Danio rerio: one gene and its partners. The protein of the gene in region 4 purifies or fractionates together with the protein of the main gene of each other region. This does not show direct contact. Links are inferred from orthologs where the notes say so. Each region holds a gene or a part of one and is shown on either strand. Other genes may lie near its edges.

Region 1 (4,268 bases), on a different chromosome or scaffold from region 4:
CCACACTTGCAGGTCTTAGTCTTGATGCCTTTTTTTAAATGTCACAGTTTAGCCTGACAAAGCCCTACATTATCATTAGTGTATTTGAGTGCCATTAAAATCAGTTTGTACTTTGTCCCATCATTTGACTCAATGAAACATGGTCCTCTACCAATGCACACTCCATATCCTCCCACTACCATCTCATAAAGGCGGCCATTCATACTCTGTTTTACTCTGGCAACAGATTCACCGGCACGCTGGCAGATGGTCTGTGGTTGCCAGTGGTAACCACTCTCAGCGAGAAGCAACAGTTGCTCTTCTCTGCTCCCTTTGAGAGAATAAAAAGTCAAGAGGTATTGGCATATCACTGCCTCGCCACAAAATGGGCAAGCCTACAAGACAATTACAATTGAGAACATCGAACAGCATTCCTAGCATGATGGAAAAGGAGATAGGCTACTTGTGCCAGTAATGGGGAATACTTTGTTACATCAATCTCTCTTTTGTTGAGAAGTTTTTTTTTTTTTCTGAGAAATGCCCTGGGATGATATGCTTTCATATCAGTCAAATGCAGTTAAAAAGATATTTTATAGGAAATTGGTGGTGGTGTTGTTGTTTAAGTGATAAAAAACATCCAAATGTTATCTTACACCTGAAAAACGTGTAATAATCAAACTGCTAGATTTTTTTATTTCAGAACCCAGTTTATGAATTGATGACTTTTTTGATTAGACTTTAACAAATTGATTAAGTTGGTTGACAAATTTATGAGAGTGTGGACTGAAACACAAAACACAAAGTCTGTAATTCAATCTGAATTTTTGTGACATAGCCAATACTTTAAATTCGCACATAATTCTGACGAATTAATGTCATGTGAACATGATTGATTTATCAGTTCTTGCTGAAACCCCCAAAATTCCATCTAAATGTATCTTTTTCTGTTACTTTTGTCCTTCTAACTTTAAAAAACAAAACAAAATTGTATGAGTTTTGAGGAAGATAATTGTTTTTGTTGTGAGTCTTCTCTGTGAAATGTACTTTCAGACACAAATGGAATTTTTAAAAACAAAAAGTATTGATCTCCAGGAGTTTAAGAAGTGTTTTCATCTGGCCTCTTTAACTTTGACACAAATATATTTAAATTTTAAGCTATGGACAGCAGGACATACTTTTATTTGTGTGAGGTGACGTGACACGCACGTGTGTATGAGGTTTGAACGCAATTTCCCGATAAATCCACGCCGAGACCGCAAAATAATTAAACTACTGTATGTTTGGAAGAGGATTTTTTATTAGTTACATGAGAGTTTGTTTGAATATAACAACCTGTAAATTTGAGCTAGAAGTTTCAGCCCTTGTCAGTGCAGCTTTAGAGTTTGCCTTGCAGTAACAGCACAGGTCCAGAGAGGGGCGTAAGCAGAGTGTTTGGAAAAGGGGCTGGCCGAGAACTGTCTTCAAACCAATGATCGGCTGAAGCTTTTACACTGTGGATTCGGTTCAGAGGAGAACACACTGACAGCATCGGCTCCTCTTTGCAGCGTCTGTGTGCACACCGACAGTCAGTGTCAGAAGACACTTTCCACCGTATTGCATTAACACATCTTATTGGATTTCCTCGGAGGAGACGCGATTGATCGGCGCAGACGCGCAGTGCATGTTCTTCTGAAAGCCGAGTCCACCTGCGCGTGTCTGAGAGATTTGTTCATTTCCAGGAACGGGGCTGTGCAACTCCTCTTCCTAGCCGGACTGAGAGGAGAATCCGTCAACGTCATTTAAACGGGAATAACAGCTTTGATCTTTCTTTTTCTACGAAGTGATTATGCGCGTCCTGCGCGGATTGTAAGCAAGGAAAGTCGCCCGTTTGCTCCTGACCCAAAGGGACATATCAGGTCGTGCCAGCAGGAAATACACGGGTTCGGAAGAAATTCCCATTCAAATTTGAGGACTTGAGACAAACAGAAGGAGCGTGCACAATGCCTCTTGCTCAACTGGCAGAGCCATGGCCCAAAATGGAGCTGGTGCAGTTGGAGACGGAGGTGAGAGGTGGTGAAATCACAGCACTAAAATTAACTGATTTAATGTGCGCCCTTTAGGTTGCTCTATCCGTGCCAGAGGTCCACGTGTTTGACTTTAGGAGTTCATGAGAAATACAGCAGTCGTCTAGAAATGTGATACTTTGTGCAAAATAACTAAAGAGTTGTGCAGGTGTGATGGTCAGGGTCTTTATTCTGTTCTTTTGGAGCGCCAGCAGGACGCGCAGCGCTCAAGTAGTGCAGGTCAGATGTTTCCTAATACTGGAGGGTCGTTTCATAAAAAAGTGCCTAGGTGACCTTCATAATCGATGACTTTAACCAAATAATCTTTTTCTAACTTAAACACACTCACACTCACACTCACACACACACACACACACACACACACACCAGACCCATAAACCTTCTTCATTTGGATGTCAGTCGTAGCCTTGTAATGATAGCAGTGTGAATATCAACCATGTTTTCAAGTTTCTTTTTTGATGAAAACCATAATTTTTTTTAAGAATCATGTTCATGCTATTTCACAGCTGCTTTGGAAAAAAGTCAATTATATCTAGATTTTAAATAATGTGGCATGAAAGTATAATCCAAAAACATGCCACCACTTCAGTGATTCATAACCTTTTTTCTAAATCAGAAAATCACATAAAATCACATTTTCAGCGTGGAAAAATGAACCAATTTTAGGGAATGACTCTGCAGTTGTGTCATCTTTAAACTCCAGCGGAAGAATATTGTTTTCTTGTTGTGCTCAGTGAAGCAGCTGTTTTCCAGTTTTTCACTGTGCAGTTCTCTTCTCTGGGGTACATGTCAAATGTCATAAAATCAAATAAATAATACAGCAGTTTAAGGTCAGAAGAAGCATTGGGAAACAACACTCGAGTTATCGAGCTCTTTTGTATTTCTGAACTTTAGTTGTGGTGCATAAGAAAAACACAATTTTTAGTGTTTTTTTATGTTAAACATGTTATAAAATTATTGGCATATAAATACTTAATATTTACATTGTCAAAATCAAATAGCATCCACTCGTATCTGCAGTATAAATTGTCATGCTTGGTTATAAAAAAATTAGGTGTTTTTTCCTTTAAAAGATTTAAATTGCGATATGTGTTCAAATATGCTAGTTTGATGATTTGTATCTTTTGGTGACAGACCACAGTGCTGACATCTCTGAGAGCTAAACTCCTAGTCAGTTCGAGTTTTGTATCACAGAATACTGTCAAGACGTTTGCATTGTACAGCTCTGGAATTTCCTCTTCCAATTCAGCTGCAGGCCAAGTTTGCAACTACAAGGCAAGCAGAGACAATATGTTCTGTGAGTGATTAATGAGAATGGAAGGAAGAAGATTTAATTTCTTATCTTGCTCTCAGACTAATGTTGATCTCATTTGAGAATCACAATAAGAGGCGTATTTTACTCTTTTGTTCCTGTTCGTGTAATCTGTGCAATTTTGAGATTAAATTAACTTTAATTTTCCCTTGCCTTCTGCTCTCTCACCTGCGCAATGAGTTCACCACCAATCAACTGGCAGCAGGTTTGCTGCAGAAACATTCTCAGTTTTCTCAGTCATTTGAACGAAATTACTTCTGCAGATGAAAACGAGAGGCAGAACTGATCAGAAAAAAATCTAATATAAGTTTAGCAGGAAAGCTCTACTGATTAGAATCTTGCTACAGCATTTCTGCAAGTAGCCTACCACAAGATCTTAAAGTGCTTCTTCCTGATATAGACTCGCTGAACAAAGGACTAAGCACAGGAAGTCACACCACTTAATTTGTCTGAAAAAGACAGGTTTTAGTTTTTTCACATGCTGCTAGTGCTCAAAGGACCCCAGACACACAAAGTGTGTAGTTACTAGATTGAAGAAAAAATGTGTCGTCAAAATGTAAATGTATGTAAAATGCACACCTGCCTATTCTGTCTGATATTATTTTAAAAAGGGCATTTTGCCATTTGCATCAAATTATATTCAACATAAGTGCAATTTTGCAGTCAAAACATGACTCTTTACAAATAAATAGATCTATTGCTAGTTTTGATATGTTTGTTTTGATAATCTGACATTACTTGCAGCATTTTGGTGTATATATTTTCATGCTTACAGAATCATGAAGTATCAGTACACATTAAGTTAGCTTGGTTTAAAGGTCCTGTGAAGTGCTTTGAAATGTGCATTTTTGGTGTGTGACAATTTCAAATGAAACTTGAAAACAGGGCAGGAAAGCTCCTCCCCTTTTAAAAAG
Region 2 (4,206 bases), on a different chromosome or scaffold from region 4:
CTTTAGAGTAACGGTTTTATAACTTTTTAAAAACATTTTCATTTGATGGTGGCAATGTTTTTTTTCTCTGGATTAAACTTTATAAATAAATGAATTAAAATTACACAATGTATAAATAAAATATATTCTCTTTAATAGTTTATTTTAAGAATAAAATGTGATTTTATAACAGGAACCTGTCTATTAACAAGATTGGTAATGATGGTTACACTGTATAGCAGTTAAAATGTACATAGATATTGGTACAAGGAAACAATACATTTTAAACTTCAAGTGAAGCTGAAGAATCATCTGATGGGGTGAAACTTTGTTATAGTTAGGAATTGTTAATGCAAACATCTATAAATGGTTGAAGTACAGTTGGTTTTATATTCGCACATTCTGACTTTCTCCTTAATAATATAATTTCAAACAAGTATTCTTTACAAATTCTAAACAGTGAAATCATATTAGCAGCCAATGACTATCAAAGTACAACATTGTTTACAGTCAAATAAACAATACTAATGTTGTTTTGAAGTCACATTTGCATGTGATATCCAACAGAAAAAAGTTTTTTTAATAATATAGATAGCTTGTCACAAGCTGTCTCTAGGTATGGGCTGGTATAAGATTCTAATGGTGTGATAAACTTGGATAAAAATATCACGGTTTCTCTGTATTGTGATTACTGTGATTTACAATATTTTTGAGCAATAAACATGTCAGGTTAAACAATTCAAACGAATCATTGACTTCTGATGCCTTCATTTGTTCATTGTTCATTCATAGTTTCGAAAACACAGATTTCTTTACAACTTGAAAAGGGTTAGGAGATTTTGGAGATCTTTTCTGCTGGAAACTTTTGTCCTAAAAATTACAACAAAACATAAAAAAATAAAATAAATAAATATATATATTTTTTTTTTAATTCTTAAAATTGTAGCAGAAAATGTTGGCAGGTTTAAAACATTGACTTTTCCAAACCATGGTATACCTTGAAAACGGTTATCATCCCATGTCTAGCTATCACTGAAAAATGTGCAAATAAAAAGGCAACTTTCCCTCAATCTATAAATGTTCAATTTCGCTGTTAAATACCACATACTTTCTCCAACCTTGCTCAAAACCTACAACAATATGCTAAACATTCACTCAAGGGTGGAAGAAGAGCTTCTTCTTACCTGTCTGTATGAAATTCTTCTGGATAAAGCTCCTTAAAGCCACTGTGGCCCCACCTGAGAGAACACAACATGTTATGCCTTTTGTTACAATGTTCACAGTACTCAAATAGATTAGTTTAACTCGAATGGTTTGTAGTTTCCTCAAGCAGTTTGAGCTGCCTTAATCTATTGGCTTTTACAGTACTCAGTCGGTTTGAGTTCACTTAATTTATTGGGTTTTACTGCGCTGAAATTGCGGCGTTTACTCAAGTGGATTAAGTTCACAGTACTCATTAGGATTAGTTTTTGTACTTAAATGGATTGTTGCAATCGGATTTCTCAAATGGTTTGAGTTACCTTAACTTATTGGGTTTTACAGTGTACAAAACAGTTCAAACATGACGAGCACAACACCAACCAGCACTACCTGTCAGGATCATTGGCTTCAAACTCATACAGTTTGCGTGTCCAGTATCGTGCCTCCCTCTCATCTCTCTCAGATACATCGTCTCTCCGCTCACCCAGCCGGTCTCTCGTTGACCCTTCTGAGTCGTCCAAATAGCGGTCACAATGCATGCTGCCCCTAAATGACCATTACACATTACAACTACTGAGAAACACACACCGTGAGCACAAATAAAAGAAATGTTGAGCCGCATGTGATCCACCTGTGCTTTGGGAAATGAGTGGACGAGGTATGTCGTTCAAGATCCCTCAACTTCCACATCTCAGACTCCTCTTGAATCTGCAGTTTTAAGTTGAATCAGATGACTTTCAGATTACATAATTATGAAATATTGTGTTTAAATTGTCACATACCTTGTTATGTGCATCTGTGTGTCTGATGACATTTCGGAGTAGAAGTTTACCTAAAGACACCTTTGACATGGATACACCTAGGAAAAAGGGTTTAAACACGAAGTGTATGTAAGGCACAGCTTATTGAAATACTTGTACAGAATATACATACATACATATATATATATATATATATATATATACATATATATATATATATATATATATATATATATATATATATATATATACATATATATATACATATATATATATATATATATATATATATATATATATATATATATATATATATATGTATACACACACACACACACACACACAAACACACTTCCTTTTTTCTATATATAGTACAAATATATATATATATATATATATATATATATATATATATATATATATATATATATATATCTGTGTGTGTGTGTCTGTGTGTGTGTGTATTCTGTTCAAGCATTTCAATAAGCAGCAGTGCCTGTGAATCCAAACAAACACAGGCTGATCTTATTGGTTAATTTACCAATACAAAACCCAAAGATAGTGTACTAAAATAAACATTAGTCTTTGCATGCTTTGTCCAATAAATATAACTGTTAGGAGCTTTACTGACATTAGCATCACTTCCTCTAACGTTTTCCTGCTGGCCAAGAACCCTTAGCTCGAAAGATTCATTTCGTTAAACGTTTAAGTTAGCCCTAAAATTGTAACGACCAAGCAAAATGGTGTTTTTTAAAAGGAGTAACGTGAGAACTGACCTTTCGCTTATTCAATATATTTTTAAATGTAGTGAGAGACGTGAACGTGGCACCAAAACAACAAACAGAACGTATCAACTTCCTGCACTACATCCGCAGGTTACTTTAAAATAAAAGTCTCAAAACGTATTTCACAATAAAAGGACTATTTATCAGATTAATCAAGGAATGTTTTTAAGAAAACTTGTCTGAAAACAAACATTTTGTATAAAATTCAGAATAGGCCCATAATTTTACACACTAGCGCACTCAAACACAGGCTTTTCTTCAACTAGGGCCACTGACGTTTATTAAAAAAAACTTGTTCAAAAGTCACCTACAGTCTCATAAGTTTAGTTAATATGTCTAGGCTTAAGATCTGTAAGAGGAAAAACTTAGATTACAAGAGAAATTGTTAATATTTCACATTAATTCCAACTATTTGAACATATGTCATTTCCATCACATCTCAAAACACAGCGGTTATTTAACAATTGAATAACTCAGTCAATACCACTCAAGAACTGATCAATTTTATAACTAATTTTACAGTATTTTTACAGTCAGTGTACAATATTTATTCATTCATTCATTTATTCATTTTCTTTTCAGCTTAGTCCATTTATTAATCTGGGGTCGCCACAGCAGAATGAACCACCAACTTATCCAGCATATGTTTTTACGCAAAGGATGCTCTTCCAGCTGCAACCCTTCACTGGAAGACACCCATACACACCTATTCACACACATGGACACTTTTGGCTCACCTAATTCACCTATAGCGACTGTGGAGGAAGCCGGAGGACTTGGAGGAAACTCACGCAAACACGGGGAGAACAATCTCCAAACAGAAACTGACCCAGCCGAGGCTTGAACCAGAGACCTTTTTACTGTCAACAGCGCTACCCACTGCCCCACCGCACTGCCCTCAACATACATTTTGTCAATAAATTAAATTTACTTCCCCAGTGACCAAATGCTGAATTATTGTCACATTCTGAAATGTAATATTAGTTTAGGTAAAAACTCATTAGAAAATAAATAAATAAATAAATAAATAAATAAATAAATTTTTTATATTAAATAGAATTGTGTAATAATATCAATTGTGGATATTTTTTAATATGTGATGAGAAATAATAAAATATATTTAAAAAATGGTAATAGAAATAATAGGGTGTTGTGGAAATGACAATGACAGGAGACACAATAATATCTTGCAACATTTGGTCACTGGGGCTCAGGGATAAGGCTTATGATTATTTTAGGGCCAGAAAAGTCAACCCTTCACAACCCTTCTACTGTCCCTATATATTATACCATATTACCATTATACTCTTTGATTATTTTTTTCTTTTATTGCCTTGGGTTGCATCTTAAAACAGACCATCAGTTTTTATAAAAATAATTTTCAACCCCAATTCCAATATTACACAAATCTACTCTTGCAATCCATATAATTTGTACTTTGTAACCGTAAATGTAATTTGCATTTGTCAAAATGGTTGTCA
Region 3 (3,985 bases), on a different chromosome or scaffold from region 4:
CGGTGTCGTTTGTGTGCTGAACCGAACCAGTGCAAACGTGATATTGATAAAATAGTAATATTGTTTTTTTCTTCTCACTTTACCAGCGAAAATATTACATATATCTGACTTTAACAATAAGAATAAGGTTCGCTTGAAGTGTTTTGAGAATTAATATTTTTTTCTCCCAGAGTTCATTTCACACCAACAAGCAAATATAACGTAATGGCGGATGAGAAAAGCCAGATCATATCATAAATATTGCGTTTAATATGTCACGAAATGAAGTTTTAACTGTTTTTCATGCGAGAATGTAGCTCTTCCAAACTCAAATCTGTGGTTTGTTTTTAGATATCATGTTTAATTTTAAGTGTGCTTTGCCGATAGGGGAGATTCTGACCTCCAGGGGATGACGGCGCTCCATCACTATGTATCCGGCAAACCTCATGCTTTAATCGGCCTAGACATTATTGAGACATCCCCTGTCTTCGATGACTAGATAATAAATGTGTTATGAAATAAAGTTTTAACCGTTTTTCATGCGAGAATGTAGTTGTTTTAAACTCAATTCTGTGGTTTATTTATTAAGATAGTGCGTATTTTAAAATGTTGTTTTGAAAATGCGGAGATATGTGACCTCTACGGTGGCCCATGGGTGCCCAATATTCTTGAATCCGTCTAAAGCAGGTTGGTCACTCTGACATTTAAGCTGACTTTAAAATCATTTTGTGTGTTTAACAGTCTTTGGTTACGTGAATCAATTTATTTTTGTTCCAATTTACGTTTTGGTTTAGCACAAAGTTATGTTTATTAAATATTATTTAATATTTCCATGTTGCCTTATAAAGTGCACCCAAAAATGGAAAACCAGGGGACAGTTTAATGCACTGAACAGTCTGAAGAAACTGGTTAGGTTATTTACTTCACAAAATTATTTGTCTAAAAATAAATAAACATAATAATCATAATATATAGTGTGTGTGGAGTTGTTCTTGGTCATTTGCAGTACTGTATTTAGATACACAGTAACAGATTTTTCCCCAAAATTCATTATAAAATCTACAGTAACATACTGTTAACCATGTTCACAGTATAGAAAAGTTGAAAATACATTATTATACTGTGAAAACAACAATATATACAGTAACACACTGTGCACAGCTTATACAGTAAAAAACTGTTGAGAAATGCAGTATAATACTGTGAAAACAACAGAAATCGTTTACAGTGTAGATGACCTAAGGGTGGGTAATTTAATAAGCATGTTACATTTTATTTCTTGGTAAACTGTCATTTTAACCCGCTCTTCAGGAAAGTTCAAAAAACACACAGCTCACTGAATATCTTAATGTGACTCAAAAATGCTGCCAAAAAAGTTTTTAAGACAGTCTCTATATTAGGCATGGGTCGGTATAATATTCTGACAGTAACCTATAACCTTGAATGAAAGCATCACTGTTTCATGCAATCACAGTATTGTGATTACTGCTCTAAAATAAGTTATTTTTAAATGTCTGGGTAAAAAAAAAAATACTTTTTTTTCTCCACTGAACACAATATATTTATTTTAAGAAACATTTGAAAATATTTTGTAACAGCATTTAGACTTGGAGGGTTTTTTCAGCTGGATATACCGAGATACCACCCTGAAAAAACTAAATATAATATCCAGTATAATTTCTAAGTAATGTCTTAAAAACATTAAAAACATAAAACTTACATATACCTTAGAAATGGTATAACAGAAAAACATGATGGTTTTAAAACGTTCTGACAGACTGACAGACTTCTCCAAACTGTGGTAAACATTGAAACCGGTTATCATCCCATGCCTACTCTATATACAGTTTTAAGATTGTAGTATCAATAACATGTTAAAAATAATCTCTAAAAAATTAACAATGACACAAAAACCTTTGTTTAACTATTAATCTACACTTAATCAACCACACTAGACAGTGCACTGTCAATAAGATTGCCTATTTTGATAATCACCTCATAAAATACGGATGCAGAAAACATTTAATAGCACGTATAAACCTTTTGCATAGCTGAAAAGTATTAATATTTTAATAATAATAATAATAATACTGCAATCAAAACAAACGTAGGCCAGATGTAACGTTACCAGAACAAAACAAGAGCCTTTGTCAAAACAAAGGATTCTGCGCAGTGCCCTTCACAGTGTGCACCAGTACCCGGCAAATCATCCACATCTCCTACCCATCCGACGTCCACTACTGAAATAGGCTACTGATGTTTTTAGTGCTTCGCTGCGATCGAGAGCTAATATTACAATAGTAAGCAAGATGCCACGCGTTTAGGGAAACTGGTGACCAGTGATGTTTCCTCAACGCGCACCCATAATCAAACTCGATATCAAAGCATACATTAATACCTCACAGTATGAAAACATAAGTCATTTAAGAATCGCGAACACTGAAAGGCACAACATTGATACAAAACCACACATAAAGGCAGGCAGTGTTCATTCAATTTGATCGACCCGGCTAGCAGTGTCCTGCTGTTACATCTACGGTATCCTGAGCACACGATCAGATCAGATCACGGGAAAAGCATGGATTCTGTACACCACAGCATTGTGCGAAAAAAAAGGTTGAACACGACCAAATGCATCAATACATTAGCCTTATAATAAACGCTTCATCGTTGCATGCACGAAATATAAGAACGGCTCTTTTTATTATCAAATCGCTCACTCACCCTTGTTCTTCTTTTCGCTGTCAGTTTTATCCCGGGCTTCAATGCAGCAGCTAAACGGTTTTCGTAGCCCAGCCCAGTGTGTATCCCCACGTCTCCTATTTGCCTCAGTTGCTCAGCAGCAATAACGTTATTCCTAACAAATAGCGGCGACATACGGCAGCCTGGAATCAGGCAAGTAGGACAGCGTTTGCAGTTCCAACACAGTCCGGTGGGCGTGTCCTCATACAATGAATTCCGCATCAATATTTCATAAATATAAATTTTTTATGACTGACTGTTAATGAATTTTGGCTGTAAATATGCTGTTTACAATAATAAGCATGCTTCGATAATAAACAAAACTCTCTACGAGAACGTTGTGCTTAGCGGAAATTACAGCATTGTAGTTTTTTCAACAATCTAACCAAGCGAATTTGATATCGTAAAAACTACAAGTTCCAGTTGCCTATAAGCGGTTTACGGAAGCGCTCGTCTGCCATGCAACCGTTGACGTCTTTTTGGACGCTGTTCATTGATAACAAAATACTGCAGCTGTTGAAGTATCGAGTAAGAGAATTTGTGTTGTTTGTTTTAAACAACATTGGCGTTCATTAAGCGTTTTAGGCAACAATGAAACCGTCCTTGGAGTCAGACGAGGAAGAGGAATTAGGAGCACTGCAGAAGACGCTGAGAGGTGATGTTTTGATGCTGCATTTCAGCCTGTGTTGCTCTTCTAAAACGACAATAGTGTGCAGCATGACCAGTTTCTAAACACTTACAATGAGCTTCTGACCGGGTGTTATACATTGCAACATAATTTTTTTTGTGTGTGTGAAACTGTACCAAACTCTTTACATTAGCATATAGTTAGCTAAAATGTTCACTTTTTTTTTTACCAATATATAATAAAAACAGGAGTTTTCAGCCTTTCAGATCCCCTGAACCAAGATGCTATAGTCCCTATACGTATTTATACTTTATTTTTATCATAAATTGTTTCAAAATATTATTTAGAAAATATTAAATATTTGAGTTCAGATATGTGTATTTTCACACGTGTTTTAGTTATTGAGCTAAAGTTGGTTTTATATTCACGCATTATAACTTTATCCTTCTTAATATCATTTCATTAAAGTATTCTTTGCAAACTCCAAATAGTGAAATCATATTGGCAGCCAATGACTATTAAAGTACAACATTGTTCACAGTCAAATAAATAGTATGTTGTTTTTAAGTCATACTTGCATGTGATTTCAGACGGAATATTCAAAGTACTATGGTAAACAATATAGGAAGCCTGGCA
Region 4 (3,542 bases):
AATCTACATTAATAAGATGCTTTTACACGCCACTATCCATACCTCATGTGGAGGGTAAAATTCATACTTCATGCAATAGATTGGATAATTGATTAAAACCCTTTTGTTAGGTGTCAGGTCAGGTCAGGTGTCAGGAGACGTTATCAATGTCTACAAATTTTCTACTGAATTACTAAGAAAGCACTTTTCTTTATTCTGTATTCTTATATTGTTCCTAAAAGTACAAATTATTGTTGCAGGTTGCCTATGTTTGTTTATTGACTGCTTTAGTTTGGACTTGAGACGGATGCAGTTGACAATGTAAATGTCCATTCATGGTTTTCCCTCATATTGCATTCATTATGATGTAGGTATTTTGTTTGACATCTACATAAAGAGCTTTGTTCAGCAAGTTTGATACACAATGAGCAGGCAATGCAAAACTTTCTAAAATAAATTGACTTTGGTCAGGGATTTCTTTAGTTTACATTGATTACAAAAATGCAGAACTCAAGCACAAGTTGTAGGAAAAGACATTTATTGTGAATTCTGAACCCTGGTTCCTCAATAGCTGTAAAGGAAAAAAAACATTCAACAGGATCAAAGAAAAGAAATAGCACACACAAAAGAAATGCATTTAAACCCATTTTATATTTTCTACTCTGACTCTTCTCTACCAGAAGAAATACTTTAAACAAGAGAAGAAAAACCTGGGCCCATACCAAACATAAAAAACATCCTAACTCTGGTCAATCTAATCAAATTTGTCTGAAGAATCTGGACACTGGAGGAACGCAGCAGGTTGGCGTCAATCTGAAGAAGAGTGCAGTACCAAATATTAAAACAAAAACATGTCGAATTAAGATGGCGTTTCCTGATTACACTTGTCTTCCCATTTCTGCTCTTATCTTATGCATGCGGTGAAAGCTTGCAGTCTGTCAACAAAAAACAGTCAAAGACAATCCCAGCGACGTCACTTAAACCCAAAACATACTGCATATATCATGCAACAGCCTTCCTTTTTATTTCAATAAGCCAAATATCAGAGAAGGGGATTGAGCCAATTTAAATGGGGTTTTGATGACCAATCAACCCTACTTTTACATTCAAAGCCAACCATCCACCATGCCGAGAACTGACAAGACATCAATTCAAGACTGTTTTATATGTTAGCATTAGCAAACTAAAACAAACAGTAACCAGAGAGCGAGCAGAGCCATCCTACAGTTATCTATCTTTAAGTAGATCTTTATTTTCTATGTGGAGGTTGAGAACTGAAAGAAGTTTGTTTTTTTTACAAGGAACACCTCATTTTCTGTACAGTGTTTCAGAGGTAAGCTTTTAGTTTCTCCCCAGTGTTTTACAGTCTCACTCTCTCCACATTTAAATGTTAGTCTCGGTCAAATCGAAGGAGAAGAGTGAGCCCTTGTTGACGGACACACAACCCACCCGACATCCCACCCCACCCCATCCCATCCCATCCCAGGTGTTTAGCGGATGGCTTTGACGGGACTCTTGAAGCTGGAGGCTGCCTGCAGCTGGAGCTGGTAAGCCATTGGGTGAATCTTAAAACCATAAAGCCTGAAAGAGGACAAAGACAACAACTATGATCAAACTGAACAACTGTAGACTTCATCTGAGAAAATCAGGAGGAAGGACAAACCTGGGCACAAACTGGTTGGCAGGCCTTTTTGGCCGGTACTCGGGATGCACCATAAAGAGCATGTGAGGGAAGCCGGTGCCAAAGTAAGCTCCGTCAGTGTGATGGTGCCTGGATGACTTCGGCGTGTACACATCCATACACTTGGGGCAGTAGAGCTTCACCATAGCCTCGCCGGGAATGTCAGAGAGGCCTGGAGAGGGCAAAAGATTCATTCCTTCAAGTTTCAGTGGAGCTCATGTGAACAATGGACTGCCTGAAGACCAGCGGCCTGTACCATAACGCCAGATTAGCTGGCTAGCCAGTTAAGTTTGCACCAATTCTGGGTTTTAGGTAGCATGAACGTAGCTTAGCTTATATGCTCCATAGTACCATGAGAACAAAGAGGGACTAAAATTGAGCTGACTTCATGTTACCTAAAACCCAAGATTGGGTCAAACCAAACAAACTGAACTGGCTGGCCAGCTAATGCTACAGGCTCCACTGTTTACACTCTTTCGTCAGATCACAAGTCTTCCACATTTACTCCTTGTGTTTTAATCCGCCTTTTGGCTTTTAACATGCAGTAACGGTTGTGCTCATGAAATAAATCAGCAAAGTAGGCGCTGTGAAATACAGTGTACAAGTTACATTATATTTGTGCTTAAATGCTAAAGTGAAGACATGGTGAAATTAAAAATAAAAAAACATTTATTTTTAAATAAAAAATACATTTAAAATAAATAAATAAATGACAAATTAAAAACAAGTACAGATTTTTGTGCCAATATTTTAAAATATGACTTGTTTTTAACTGTATATAAGGATAGACCTACATAAAACTTTTAAAGACAGAGCCTACAGTGCTCAATCAAATGATACATATTCTTTATTATTTTTATTAATATTAATGTGTCGTTTAAATGGTTATATTTAATCAACTAAATAATTGTATGTCAATATGCAACTACTGCAAATACTTTTACCTTATACATTTTTCTACTACATGAAAACTGGGTTGGTAAAATAACATGCACAAAACAGGCTGAGGCACTCACCAATAGGCAGCATTGGCTGATTCTCACAGTAAACACGAGGACAGTAGCCAAAGTCTCCCTGCTGATATTTCTCCAGCTCCAAGAGAAAACAGCACATCATGTCACAATACAATAACATCTTTCTTAAATGAAATGATTCAAAAAATTGAAAAGGAGATCATACCATCTGGGCAATGCCACGGTTAGTGAGGATATAGCGAGCATGAATCAGCCCATAGAGCATCTCAGCAGCCTGCTCAATCAGGTCACTCTGGTTAGGGTTATCCTCCAGCTCCTCATCTGATGAACACAAGAATCATCTCACTATTCACATGACACTGCTTTCCAACAAGAACAAGAAATATTTGGCAGGACTTGACGTCATCCATTGGCAATTGACTGAATGCTGGTTTAGCTATTGGCTAGTCTCATGTAAGTGACAGGTTGGGCCGTTAATGCGTTTAATTAAAGCTTAAGGTTGAATTATTTAAAAGAAATGCTGACCATAATGATGGCACAAAAGTGGGATTGTGTAGAAAAACTAAATGACTGACCAGGTTCCAGATCGAGGATCATGTCCAGAGCTTGTCTGTAATGGGGAACTTGCTCGTTGAGTCCTGTAAGATTAAACTTGTCCTGAATATAGTCCTCATCCACCTGTATAGAGGGGAAGAAAAAGAGCAAAGCACATTAGGAATGCATCAATGAAAATAAAACAATTGTTCAAAAAAACTAAACAAAAAAACTGATTTCTGCTTTATTTTTATATAAAAAGCAGTTTCAGAGAGTTTTTGATGCTGTTTTAGCTAGACAGACAGATGGTGGTTTGTTCTGTATATTTTATTCCACTTTAAGTGCTTCCCACAGATTTCAAATATACTTGCGGT
Region 5 (4,169 bases), on a different chromosome or scaffold from region 4:
ATGCAACATTGTAATTTAGTTGTGTTGAGAATCACACTAGGGGTGTCAAATGTTCAGTGCTCATTTGTGCATTGCTCAAAGCAACTCTGAGTCACTACAGAGCCACCCTGTTTATAGAAGATCTAACATATAGGTTGTATAGTAAGCAATTATAAGGTTTAGACAGGACTACACTTCAAAACAAAGATAAGGAGCAGTCACATAAGACAGAGAAACATTGCTGCACTTTACAGTGCGCATTGACAAAACATTATCAATTAACCCCTAAACTTTACTCCTGAAAAAGGAAACTTCAGGAAAAGGATTTGCTAAAACATGAACCTAAATGCAAAGCCATGGATGAGATATGATTCAAGATACACAAGTTTCCACAAGTATCAACCAACTGACACATTTACATATTTATATTGTAGTATATTTTAAGTAACTTTAGCTAGTTTAAAAAAAGCTTTATGCTATTAGTAATAACAATAAAAAATTAGTCAATTTGCCAAACTTTAAAGACAAAACTTTTACATTTAACTAATAATATAAAAAACTCAAAATCATTATAAAAATACAAACTTCCTCATCAGTGGACTGTAAGAACCATATCTTCCATGGCTAAACTCAAGTTATCTGTTCTTCTGAACAGGTAATGTTTTTAAAACAGTACAGAAAGAATCAATTGGTAAATGGTCACTAATGATTAACTACAAATCCATTCATCTCTATGTCAACAAAAATATTTCATGGGTATTATTAGCATGTTGTGAAACAAAATATAGTTACATAACATAGTGGGCTCTCAGTAAATAAGGAGACCACCTTTTTTAAAAACCTCATTTGATTCTGTAATTTTTCATTCTAATGTTTTTGAATACAATGACAAAACAATAGGTTCAAACAAAATTATAAATGGGGCTCCCTCGCATTATTTACTTGTCAAACACACTTTGAAATAAATAACATCTGACAAAAGCAAAAAAAAAAAGTATGTATACAATGTAACAAAAATGGATCTAGCCATAAGGTGTTGCAAGAAATTCTTGGCAAATTTACAACTAACTTAAAAAATAATAATCATTCAAAGTATGTTCACTGTATGTATGCAAGTAATAAAAGACAATTGCATGCAAAGATATATAAAATAACTTGGCCTGTACATTTCTGGCAATACTTACTGTGAAATACTTATGTATGCATAAGGGAGGTGAAAGGTTGCAGTTTGGGCAAAATGGTTAACCACTTTTGTGTTCTGATAAGACCTTGAATGCTTCTGAGACATTGAACAGCACTGGACCATGAAGGGATGCATGTGTACATTAAGCTAACTAAATTACAATAAAAGAAGTGTATGAAAAACAGGGACACCTGTTGTGGCATATTTACTAGATTAATAACAATTTAACATTTATTTCTACTGTCAACAAATTAATTCATGTGGAGGACTAAAAGTAACGGCATTTAACCAAATTAAAGCCCATGAAGCTTAAATGTAAAGAAACCTAAAACATTTTTATAATCCGAATCAACAGGCATATGTCGTGCTACTAATAAGACATAAATATAAAATAAATATTTAAAATAAATAAAATCATATACTACATTAATTTTAATGTACCTGTATGTTTTAACAACTTATTTTAAAAAACAAAAGCGGATGAGTTATGATTACATAGCTCCTATTAACGTTAAAACACAAATGTAACGCTCAAGCAACCAAACCCTAAAGGAATAAAAATATTTAAGTTATTTTAGTGACGTCTCCAATAAATCTATGTGCGTAGCTCGTGACACTTAGCATAAGTGCTAAGCGCTAAAGGGAGACAAATTATCATCCCGAACTAAAATTTGCGTTATTACGTTAAGATAAACTAAATCGTATTGCATTCGATGACCAATTAAATAAGGAATAATTAATCAGACGCCAAGTTATAAACCGTGCTAATCCGTCGCTATTCATTAGCTTCCGTTAGCCGTGTTTTGTTGCTAAACTGTTGGCTAACTGTTAGCACTGCTAGCTTTAGCTCGGTCCAGGCCTCGCGATGGATAAACAAATTCCTTAATGCGTAAAAAGGGATCAGTTTTACCACATAACATACGGTTTGCGTTGTGGTAATAAGTCGGAGTTTAATTTTAGGTCTATAACAAAAAAAAATTAGCTTGTGATTTCTTTTGTCCATCTGTTCTTTATCTGTGATGAAAACACTGTTACAGGATCAATGTTTTGACGTAGGGGTGGCCCCATGGTCTTCGATCACTAAAAAAACATTAGAAAGTGACTGAAAATGTCAATTTGATCATATTCTGAATGTTTTCCTGATTCGCTTGTGACCTTCCAGATTGCGCTGTGTAACGTTTCAAGATGGCGTTTCGTTACCTCTGTACGTTTCCCAGAAAAGGCGACTTTAATCCCTTTGAAAGAAAAAAAGCAAATGCCCGTGCTTTTTGTTTTTGGAAAAAAGCAAAGGACAAATCAATAGTTGGATAGAAATATGATGATATTACTCGACCTTTCGTCAGTGAGAAGGCTGTTGTGTTCGTGGTTGGCTGTTGGGGAGTTTGGATGGACAGTCATGCTTTCCACAGCCATTTCCTCTAACGTACTACATTCAGTGCAAAAAATCAACTGTCTTATGCGTTACTTGACTTTGATCTACTTGTTGATTGGCATTAGGAAGAGATTCAGTTCATTGTAGTCAATTCCCCCCTAACAGTTTAAAAGAGAAACAGGTTGAAAACGTTCCTGAGGTTCTCCGTCCTACAGTTGCGATGTGAAATGAAACTCATTCTCTTAAAATGGCGACGCTTCTTCTCCGAAGAGAATGGGCGGACTTACGTGACGTCGACTGTCACGGAAATGACCGATCGGGTCATGAAAAAAAAACACTTTTTTTTTTACTCTAAGGGTAATGTAATAGTTAAAATAGTATATATTAACTGTAATCATGCACATAATATCTTAATATAAAACGTTATTTTTATCAGTATTTATTATTATTATCATCATCATTATTATTATCATTATTCATTGTATTATTACTGTTTTATCAAAAAAGGGGCCTTGCAGTTAAAATATATCAACATTGCATTATCTTTGGTATCATATGTTTCAATACCTATTCTGGACCTATATATATATATATATATATATATATATATATATATATATATATATATATATATATATATATATATATATATATATATATATATATATATATGTATATATATATGTATATATATATATATATATATATATATATATATATATATATATATATATATAATTGAATATAATAACTCTAAAGTATCAGTTTTATACAACTCAACTTTTTATTTGATTCTATTTTGCAAGCACAGATCTAGAAAACAATCATTTAATGCTATTAATAGTGATCTACACTCCAATAAATATAATTCTGTCACGTTTATGTTTGCTTAAAACCATTATTATTGTAAATTATACTATTACATTTTGTTTGAAATTAAAATCTTATTTTGCCAGTGATGGGTTGCAGCTGGAAGGTCATCCGCTGCGTAAAATATATGCTGGATAAGTTGGCGGTTCATTCTGCTGTGGCGACCCCAGATTAATAAAGGGACTAAGCTAAAAAGAAAATGAATGAATGAAAATCTTATAATGATTGTCAAATGATTTGTCAAATCCTTTGAGAATATTTTTAAAAATAAAGAAGACTCTATATTATTTATACTCTTTATTATTTAATGTCTCTTAAAATAAAAAGTACTAATTTTCTTTTTTCCATTTCTTTGCAAGTAGACTATTATAAAATAGTAAAATGCACCATTTTCACTCATATCTGGACAGAAATTTTAAGTTAAATTAACACCATGAACGGACCTTTGCTCATAAAATTATGCATTATTAAAAATTAAATTCATCATATGTACATGACATATTTTGGTGACACATTTAACGCTCGCTAGATGTATAAAGGATCCCTGATAAATGTCCATTGTCGAGCTCTGATTCTGGCACACATCTCCTGCGTCATCATTGCGCGCCTTTACGAGTTTCACTAAGCGGCACTTTTGTCCCATTGAATGGGCAATAGAAAAAATAGAGCGTAGAATAGTCCAACTAACCCGTAGTTAATTGATTACAGCTTATCATCAGAAATACAAATATTCCGAGATGATCGATACCATCGAAAAAGAAGACA
Region 6 (4,270 bases), on a different chromosome or scaffold from region 4:
TTCAGAATTGAATCTTTTATCCGTTTTAAAAACAAATGTAGATGCATGTTATATACAGAAAGCACTCACCAAATGCCTCTTTTGCTAGTTCTAAGTCTGAATCCTCCTGTAGTTGTTTCACTCTGAGTTTCTCTGCCAGTTCATCTTCTGGTGTGAGTGGTGTGTCTCTTTTTGTCTCCTCTAACTGCTTTAAAAATGTAATGTTGTATACATTTAATGAAAAATATTCTTACAAAATGAATAGCATTTACAATAATTGTTGTACTATAATATATTTTAAAATCTAATTTATTCCTGAAATGTCAAACTCAAAATCTCAGGATCATTATTGCAGTCACATGATCCTCATTCTAATATGATTTGCTGCTCATGAAACACTTATCATCAATGTTTTATAATCAGCTATATATTTTTTGTTAAAACTGTGATATATTTACCCCAAAATCCTTCATGAATGGTTATAGTTATAATACAAGTTCAAAGTTTGTAGCCATATCAAGATAAACTTCAACAGTGACAGCAAAATAAAAAAATAAAAACCCACAATGTGAATTAAATGTGCTTAATATCAATAAATTGTTACTGCGCCAACTTACTTGTTTTCTGAGCTCCTCTTGTTTTTTCCTTTGTAAATTTTCCTTTTCTTTTATCTTTTCACTGAGTTTCTTTTTTTCTGTAGGTTTAGCCTCTGCATATGAAAAATCCAAACAAAATCGCATACAAACGTTACAAACTGAAGTACCTGATCAGGGTTTCTGCAGGTTTCATCCATTCAAATGTAAGAGTTTTTAAGACCCCTTTAAGACATTAAGAATGACATTTTAGACTTATGCAGGGTTGAGATTTATCCTAATGGCCTGGTATTGTCCTGAGGAATTGAGTAATCATTTTTAGTTTTTTTTTCTCCTGATTAGGCCATTTAATTTGGGGAATTTTCTGTAAGAAATGGCTAACAGCTGTTGGGAATGTATCTTTTTGCAATAAAAAAAACTTTAATTTAAAAAATAAGGTTTTATTGAGACACATTGTGGATGATTGGATGGATTTCGGTTGAGTAACTTTACTTGGACAAAACAAAATTAAGACCTGTTTAAAATTATTTAAGACCTAAAACACAATATTTGAGTGAATTTAGGAGTTTTTAAGGCCTAAAATGTAGTTGAAATTTAAGACTATTTAAGACTTTTAGGACCCTGCAGATGCTTTGTAATTATGTGAATTTAAATGTGGATAATTTACAGTCTTTTAAAAAAATATTTTTAAAATAGTTTGTATATTCATGCATGTAGATTTATTTAGTTATAGAGCCAACTACAAAATAAAAAAATTCATAACAGACGTCCCATTTTGGTGTGCAGATATACACAGTTAGCATGTCAAATGAGATGATGTAATATTTCAAATATTATTTGTGAAAAAAGCATGTCGAAATATTGTGAAAAGGGTTTCTCGTCATTTAGTGTAATGTATACTTATTTTGACCTGTACTTAAAACAAATTAACTTAAACTTTATGAATTTTTAAAAGTATTAAAATCTATGGTAAATAGATACTAATAGATAAAACCTAGTAGTTCTAGTATTTCTCTTGGTTTCTCAATACTTTATTATTATTAAAAAAAAAATTTTTAAATAATTTTTGCTTTGTATAAAGTTAGTTTTATGTACTTTAAAAACTTGCTTTATAAGTAATTGAACTTGGTTTAAAGGACAAAGGCGAAATTACAAAGATTAAAAATGACAGTAAGTATTTTGAGGCTTCAACGTGATTGCTTAAATAGTTTAATATATCATCAAATTATTATTGTTCTTCACTGATAGCCTCATGGTCACTGCGCAACATATGCTTTGATGCTTCAAAATCCTTTTTGGCCTTTGACCCCATTTTATCCTAACAATGCACTTTTCCCCCAACTCATGAACATCACTGTACCTGTCTTTTTTTCCTCCTCTTCCTCCTTTTCTTCCTCTTCATCATCATCCCAATTATCCTAAATGGAAAGGAAGAATACTTTTAATTAATAAATTAGTCCACTTCATCTTCGTTGCTAGCCTAAGAGAAGCATTAACATTCTCAAACTTTCCTTTTATGAAATCTCCTTGGGATGATCCAATAATTTTAAATAATCAACAGGTGACAATCTACAGTGACATGCTGCTACAAAAGGCCATCTACACTAACAAAACTATTAATTGTAATTAAAGGCCTAGAGAAATGGAACTGACTCATATAATTACTATAATTTCACTGTTTAACTTATGACAGCGTATTTAAGCAGGTATACACCAAACTAAATAGACACGTATTAGGACTTATCACCACGTTGTTTTGACACTCTTGAGTTAGCAAGAGTAGCTAGCTAAAGTTAGCCAACTGTAATGTCTTGATATGTAGGGATTAAAGAAGAGTTAAAACAGTTTTTTTTACTTGAGAACGACAAATTAAGGGTTCGTTACTAACTTTCACGTCGTCGTCCTCATCCTCGCCCTCCCATTTGTCATGAACTGCCGCCTTTTTGATGGGCTCCTCAGGCTCGAAACTGTCCGCATCTGGAAAACGACCGATTGTTCAGACAGATCACTTAATGACAGGCGTATTTTTGGCGTACGTTTATCTGGTAGAAAAGATTATATGTTTCCAAGCGAATAGAAGAGAAAGATAACGGTGGAGTTTAAGAAATTCTCACCCCAAGAATCGGCGTCCGCCATGATGTCAGAGTCGCTGAGGGGAACGAGAGAGTGAAGCTCAACTCACTGCACCAAGACTTCCGGAAATTTCAAAATAAAGGTCCACCGATGGACGGTAGGGAAATTTTACAAACAAGTAAATTGTGCAGTACCATGAGGAATACCATTATCAGACATTGTTAATTTTTTTAACACACAATCAAATAAAATGTCGTTTTGTGGCTTTTAGATTGTGTATTAGTTCAAGACAATCATTTGTTTGCTAACTGTAACTTTTATTAGATTGTGTAGTGTGTGTGATCTAGTGCGGCTTCTAGAAAACAAACAAAAATATTGACTCATCCTGCACTACTGATTTTGTCCAATTAAATTGAGTATATGTACATTGACTTTTAAGATCTGAATTCTTTTTTTTAATGTGATCTTTACTTCCTGATTGATATATGAAATAAAGTTGGTCTAGACTGGACAAGAAGTACTGCATTAAGTTGATTTCTTGCGTTATGTCTTTAAAATATGGAAATGTATTTTCTGTGGAGTTTCTGCACTAGCACGCTTCTACTGATGACACTTGCGTTTACGCAATCGTTCATCTCGTTTTACACTTAAACAACTTAATAAATGATTAAGTCTATTAAACTGATTGTATTTCAATTACATTACAACATCGATGCTATTAAAGGAACCTTATAGACGAATTACCATGTTTTTAAACATTCAGGATGCGCGCGCAGGGAGTGGCAGAAAAAAAAGGGGAGCGCTAGCATTTACAGCGAGGGAATGACATCCGATGCGGAGTTTGTTGACTTAGAAGTAAGTTATACTGATTACATATTATATATATATATATATATATATATATATATATATATATATATATATATATATATATATATATATATTATTATATATATATATAAATATATATATATATATATATATATATATATATATATATATATATATATATATATATATATTATTTTTTTTAATATATATATATATATATATGCATGATTTACATAATGCTTTCAACGTATTATAACAGCTTGTCACCCAGTGATAAGTACAGTGATTTGGCAAAATTAACGTTAAAGTGAGTGATGTGAGTCGCGAAAGCACCCTCCCAATGAATATTGGATAAGACGAAATGGCCAAGCATCCTGCCCCAAATATACAACTCTCTCATCGAAGCTCCAAGTGTTTTAACAAGATTAAGAAATAAGTGTAAGAAATAATGTTCCATGATTACCAGATTCAAAACTATGTAGTGCTAAAAACAGAGGTTCTGCTTGGCCAAAGACAAGGAAAGCAGACGGAGCCAACGTTAACTTACACATAGAGGTAAAGTTGGTTTTATATTCACACATTCTGACTTTCTCCTTAATAATATAATTTTATAAAAGTATTATTTGCAAACTCTAAATAGCAAAATCATATTAGCCGCCAATGACTATTGAAGTAGAACATTGCTCACAGTCAAATAAACAGTGCTAATGTTGTTTTCAAGTCACACTTGCAGCTTTTTCAGATCGAATATTCAAAGTGCCGTGGTAAACAATATAGGGAGTGTGTCACAAGTT
Region 7 (3,500 bases), on a different chromosome or scaffold from region 4:
GTTTTCTTATGCAAGGATAAAGGTGTTTCACCAATCGTTGGAAAAGGCAGCTAATAACACATTTTATACAGTCGATAATCACAACCTATAACTAACAAAAAATAATAATAATAAAAATAATAATAATATATATATATATATATATATATATATATATATATATATATATATATATATATATATATATATATATATATATATATATATATAAAGATTTCTAACAACGAGGCATCATCTCAGTGATATGATCTGCATTTTTAGGAAGCTATTAGTACATTTGAGTGTCATGACAGACTAATCACATGTACGCATGAAAACATGCTGGTATGAGTGAGTGGCAAGGTTGAGGAACAGCAAGAAAAAGAAAAATCAGATGAAGCACTAGACCACTAGTTATGTATGGCAGGTTCTTTGCTGATGCACTGCTAGCTACAGATATTAACACATTTCTGTGGTTTTATCAGCCGATGTATGTATATTCAATTGAGTGGTGTAGATCTCCGTGAGAAGGGAATGTGTGAACGGTAGAGAGAGCATTGAGAGGGCTGGGTGAGGACTTGCTGTTGCTCAACAGGAAATTCAAACATTCTGTAACACGCACAGAATGACTTGCACAAGCACAGAATGATGCTGACGGCTGTAGCCATCCCTCAAAAACAAAAGAAACAGCTACAACATAAATCTCTTAAAATATGCACAGTTTTGACCAATAAACAAGCCTTTATTTTTTTAGTAGCATTACTACTTTTAGTATTAATTTTGAATGCTTGAAACAAAATGAGAAAAGTATTTGAAGTTTTGCTAATGTGTTTGAGAATGTAGCTGTTTATATCCCCACCCTTTAAAGGGGGAGGTGAAACTTGCTTACTTCAACAACATACAACTCAATTCGAATGTTTATGAAAAATATAATCAAGGACAGAAGCAGAAGCAAAAATGCACAATTGATCTCCTGCTGTGCCGTTTCTGTTTTCAGACGGAGACCGCATGCAGCAAAGTTGAGTCAGTAACGACTTTAATATTCCTGAAAGATGCTCATCATGGCAAAATGTATCTGATCAAATGTACATGTAAAAAAGTTATACTATACTTTAATATGTTCAAATATTACAATATTTTGGATTTTAATCATAGCACATATCTTTGGACTGTGGGGGAAACCGGAGCACCCATAGGAAACGCATGCGAACATGGGCTAATTTTTTTTATATCTCAAACTTTACTGAATATCACAAATGCAAAATAAATTATTTACAAAGACAAATTGTGTACACTCACTCCAATGAGTTAATTTGCTACTTAAAGGGCCATTCACATATATGCAATATTTTAGATAAAAATATATAAATAGTATTTTTTGCAGTTAAGTCTGGAACTTCAAATGGAGAAACAGGGCAAGCTTCTATGTACTACAACAATTCTGTAATAAGGGTAATTAGCACATACACATGCTAAGCACCCAAGTACACTGTGTATGCCTTTATGAATTTAAACAAATGTTTTTGTTATTTAATAAATAAATCAATCGCAGGGGTTGAAGAGAACAAACAGTTGAGATATGCGAATTGCCTCATCATTTTGAACCTGTGAAAGTTACGATGTGCAAATAAAGTTTGCCGTCTGAACGGTGGAACTAAATTATATACAATAAATATGTCGATGTGCTTTACTTGATAAGTATTTATGCAGTTATGCCTTAGAACAGGGTGTCCAAACTCGGTTCTGGAGGGCCGATGTCCAACAGATTCTAGCTTCAACTTGCTTGAACAGACCTGGGGTGCGTTTCCGAAAACCACCGTTAACCAACTAAGGTCGCAAGTTCTGTCATTACAAATATGGTTCATTAATTTGACGTTTCCCAAATCCATCGTTTCAACGAACATTCACAAACTGCGTCGCAAACTATTCTTGCAACTAAACCTCTGGAGCTGTAATTAGAAACATAGTTCCTGACTGTGTTCTATTCCCAGTTATCCCCCCTACGCCCTATTCGTTTAGAACATTCTAACATTTTAACATGGAATGATTTTTTAAGCATTAAAGTCATCTCTCGTATGTGTCATTTGCTTTTAAAGTATTTTTACAGTTCAGTTTTAGCAATCTTTAGGTTTACAATTGCGCTCTATTCGCAGTGCACTTTGAAAACATTGATGCCATATTGAACACAGCTGTGGCTCATGGCGAAAGCTATAGGTGACATTGTTTTAAAGTGGAATTTATGGTACATTTCCAAAGCTTGTGAAAACAAAATATATAGCCTTTGTTAATGTATTAATTTATAGTAATAATAAATAGGTTATTTATTAAGTATCTGCACTGTATCTGACAAGGGCCTGTTAATTATAACATTTCTGCAGTGGCTTGCATGTGTCAAACTATAAAAGTAGACTTTTCAAAAATAAATAAATAAATAAAACAATATCCTACTACTAAAAACAATAATAATAACCATCATCGTCATCATCATTATAATTATTAATATTATTTTAGGAGTGATTTTTTTTTATTTACTAATAAATACATAGTGCTTTTCCTAAATGATGCATCGTGCTATGATAGCTCAGCCGAAAGTCACAACGTTGTTTGGGAAACGCACCCCTGCATGGAAGTTTCTAGAAAGCCAAGTAAGAGCTTGATTAGCTAGCCCAGGTGTGTCTGGTTGGGGTTGGAACCAAACTTTGCAGGACACTGGCCCTCCAGGACCGAGTTTGGACACCCCTGCCTCAGAACATGAAAGTAACATTCTCTCTTGAATTCAGATCCATGTTAACAGGACAGATTAACATTTGTCTTGACCTCAGCTTTTGACGTCAGATTAGGGGCGAAATCTAAAACAGCATAATTTCAGACACTGCTTCTTATTTAGGGAGCTTATAAAAAAAAGAGGGTGGATTTGACCTTTATAGGCTGGCTGTTTATGCACACTTTGGACACACATTAGTGTTCAAGCAACATGTAAAAGTGATTTTTGGATGCTAGGTCTCTTTCAAATTTGCAACTTGAGTTATTCACCACGAGTACCCACCTCTGCTATATAAACAAAAAAAACAATGGTTCCAGTCCTGGATGCTGATTGGGGAATAGAGTATGTTTTTCTTCACAATTACAATAACAGCCTTGACCAGTTCAGTTGCTTGAAACTATTGGTGGGTTCATGATCGTTGCTGAATTGTGTCAGTATATAGTTTTAATCCAACTTTTCTTAATGCAAACAAGGAAAAATTCAAAGTCATTTGAAAGAATACAAGCACTCTCATTCAAAGCAAAGTAGTCACCACAAGGACAAACTGTGAGCTCTCCGTATCTGTATACTTCATTTAAAAACAATAAGTTGCGGTGACTGGGAAAAATAAAATAATAAATAGCGGATTTACCTGATGCCACAGCCGCAGTACTGGCTTGGCTGCTACTGCTGTTAACATCCACATACAGTTCATGCTCTGCCTCAGTGGAAGAAGGAGAGGAGTCATCAGAGGTCATCTCCTCACTGGAGCTGCTAG

The links.
Region 1: the proteins of csnk2b (region 4) and rps6ka1 purify together in Homo sapiens (affinity purification with mass spectrometry; 4 studies listed by BioGRID and IntAct, with this or other methods). This does not show direct contact. The link is inferred for Danio rerio from reciprocal best matches to the Homo sapiens genes CSNK2B and RPS6KA1.
Region 2: the proteins of csnk2b (region 4) and nkapd1 purify together in Homo sapiens (affinity purification with mass spectrometry; 3 studies listed by BioGRID and IntAct, counting the BioPlex papers as one, with this or other methods). This does not show direct contact. The link is inferred for Danio rerio from reciprocal best matches to the Homo sapiens genes CSNK2B and NKAPD1.
Region 3: the proteins of csnk2b (region 4) and cep170aa purify together in Homo sapiens (affinity purification with mass spectrometry; 3 studies listed by BioGRID and IntAct, with this or other methods). This does not show direct contact. The link is inferred for Danio rerio from reciprocal best matches to the Homo sapiens genes CSNK2B and CEP170.
Region 5: the proteins of csnk2b (region 4) and zc3h4 purify together in Homo sapiens (affinity purification with mass spectrometry; 3 studies listed by BioGRID and IntAct, with this or other methods). This does not show direct contact. The link is inferred for Danio rerio from reciprocal best matches to the Homo sapiens genes CSNK2B and ZC3H4.
Region 6: the proteins of csnk2b (region 4) and eif3ja purify together in Homo sapiens (co-immunoprecipitation; 3 studies listed by BioGRID and IntAct, with this or other methods). This does not show direct contact. The link is inferred for Danio rerio from reciprocal best matches to the Homo sapiens genes CSNK2B and EIF3J.
Region 7: the proteins of csnk2b (region 4) and rnf111 purify together in Homo sapiens (co-immunoprecipitation; 3 studies listed by BioGRID and IntAct, with this or other methods). This does not show direct contact. The link is inferred for Danio rerio from reciprocal best matches to the Homo sapiens genes CSNK2B and RNF111.

Annotation. Positions count from the first base shown.
Region 1 is NC_133192.1:28,543,685-28,547,952, forward strand, and holds the start of rps6ka1 (ribosomal protein S6 kinase alpha-1), read left to right. Parts: upstream 1-1,468; 5' UTR 1,469-1,958; coding exon 1,959-2,021; intron 2,022-4,268. UniProt on the Homo sapiens protein: Serine/threonine-protein kinase that acts downstream of ERK (MAPK1/ERK2 and MAPK3/ERK1) signaling and mediates mitogenic and stress-induced activation of the transcription factors CREB1, ETV1/ER81 and NR4A1/NUR77, regulates translation through RPS6 and EIF4B phosphorylation, and mediates cellular proliferation, survival, and differentiation by modulating mTOR signaling and repressing pro-apoptotic function of BAD and DAPK1.
Region 2 is NC_133190.1:24,175,129-24,179,334, reverse strand, and holds the start of nkapd1 (uncharacterized protein NKAPD1), read right to left. Parts: upstream 2,801-4,206; 5' UTR 2,717-2,800; exon of another isoform or gene 2,419-2,716; coding exon of another isoform or gene 2,316-2,418; intron 2,081-2,315; coding exon of another isoform or gene 2,031-2,080; coding exon 1,962-2,030; intron 1,888-1,961; coding exon 1,811-1,887; intron 1,726-1,810; coding exon 1,570-1,725; intron 1,218-1,569; coding exon 1,164-1,217; intron 1-1,163.
Region 3 is NC_133188.1:11,503,063-11,507,047, forward strand, and holds the start of cep170aa (centrosomal protein of 170 kDa), read right to left. Parts: upstream 2,801-3,985; 5' UTR 2,704-2,800; intron 1-2,703. Other genes in the region: sdccag8 (serologically defined colon cancer antigen 8 homolog), read left to right, coding at 3,313-3,376.
Region 4 is NC_133194.1:29,146,038-29,149,579, forward strand, and holds the end of csnk2b (casein kinase II subunit beta), read right to left. Parts: intron 3,313-3,542; coding exon 3,210-3,312; intron 2,956-3,209; coding exon 2,840-2,955; intron 2,753-2,839; coding exon 2,677-2,752; intron 1,833-2,676; coding exon 1,643-1,832; intron 1,561-1,642; coding exon 1,470-1,560; 3' UTR 501-1,469; downstream 1-500. UniProt on the Homo sapiens protein: Regulatory subunit of casein kinase II/CK2.
Region 5 is NC_133190.1:26,185,575-26,189,743, forward strand, and holds the start of zc3h4 (zinc finger CCCH domain-containing protein 4), read right to left. Parts: upstream 2,801-4,169; 5' UTR 2,576-2,800; coding exon 2,496-2,575; intron 1-2,495. Other genes in the region: sae1 (SUMO-activating enzyme subunit 1), read left to right, coding at 4,142-4,169. UniProt on the Homo sapiens protein: RNA-binding protein that suppresses transcription of long non-coding RNAs (lncRNAs). LncRNAs are defined as transcripts more than 200 nucleotides that are not translated into protein.
Region 6 is NC_133200.1:34,325,564-34,329,833, forward strand, and holds the start of eif3ja (eukaryotic translation initiation factor 3 subunit J-A), read right to left. Parts: upstream 2,801-4,270; 5' UTR 2,709-2,800; coding exon 2,687-2,708; intron 2,550-2,686; coding exon 2,461-2,549; intron 1,991-2,460; coding exon 1,933-1,990; intron 689-1,932; coding exon 597-688; intron 188-596; coding exon 70-187; intron 1-69. UniProt on the Homo sapiens protein: Component of the eukaryotic translation initiation factor 3 (eIF-3) complex, which is required for several steps in the initiation of protein synthesis.
Region 7 is NC_133182.1:30,566,672-30,570,171, forward strand, and holds part of rnf111 (E3 ubiquitin-protein ligase Arkadia), read right to left. Parts: coding exon 3,375-3,500; intron 1-3,374. UniProt on the Homo sapiens protein: E3 ubiquitin-protein ligase. Required for mesoderm patterning during embryonic development. Acts as an enhancer of the transcriptional responses of the SMAD2/SMAD3 effectors, which are activated downstream of BMP.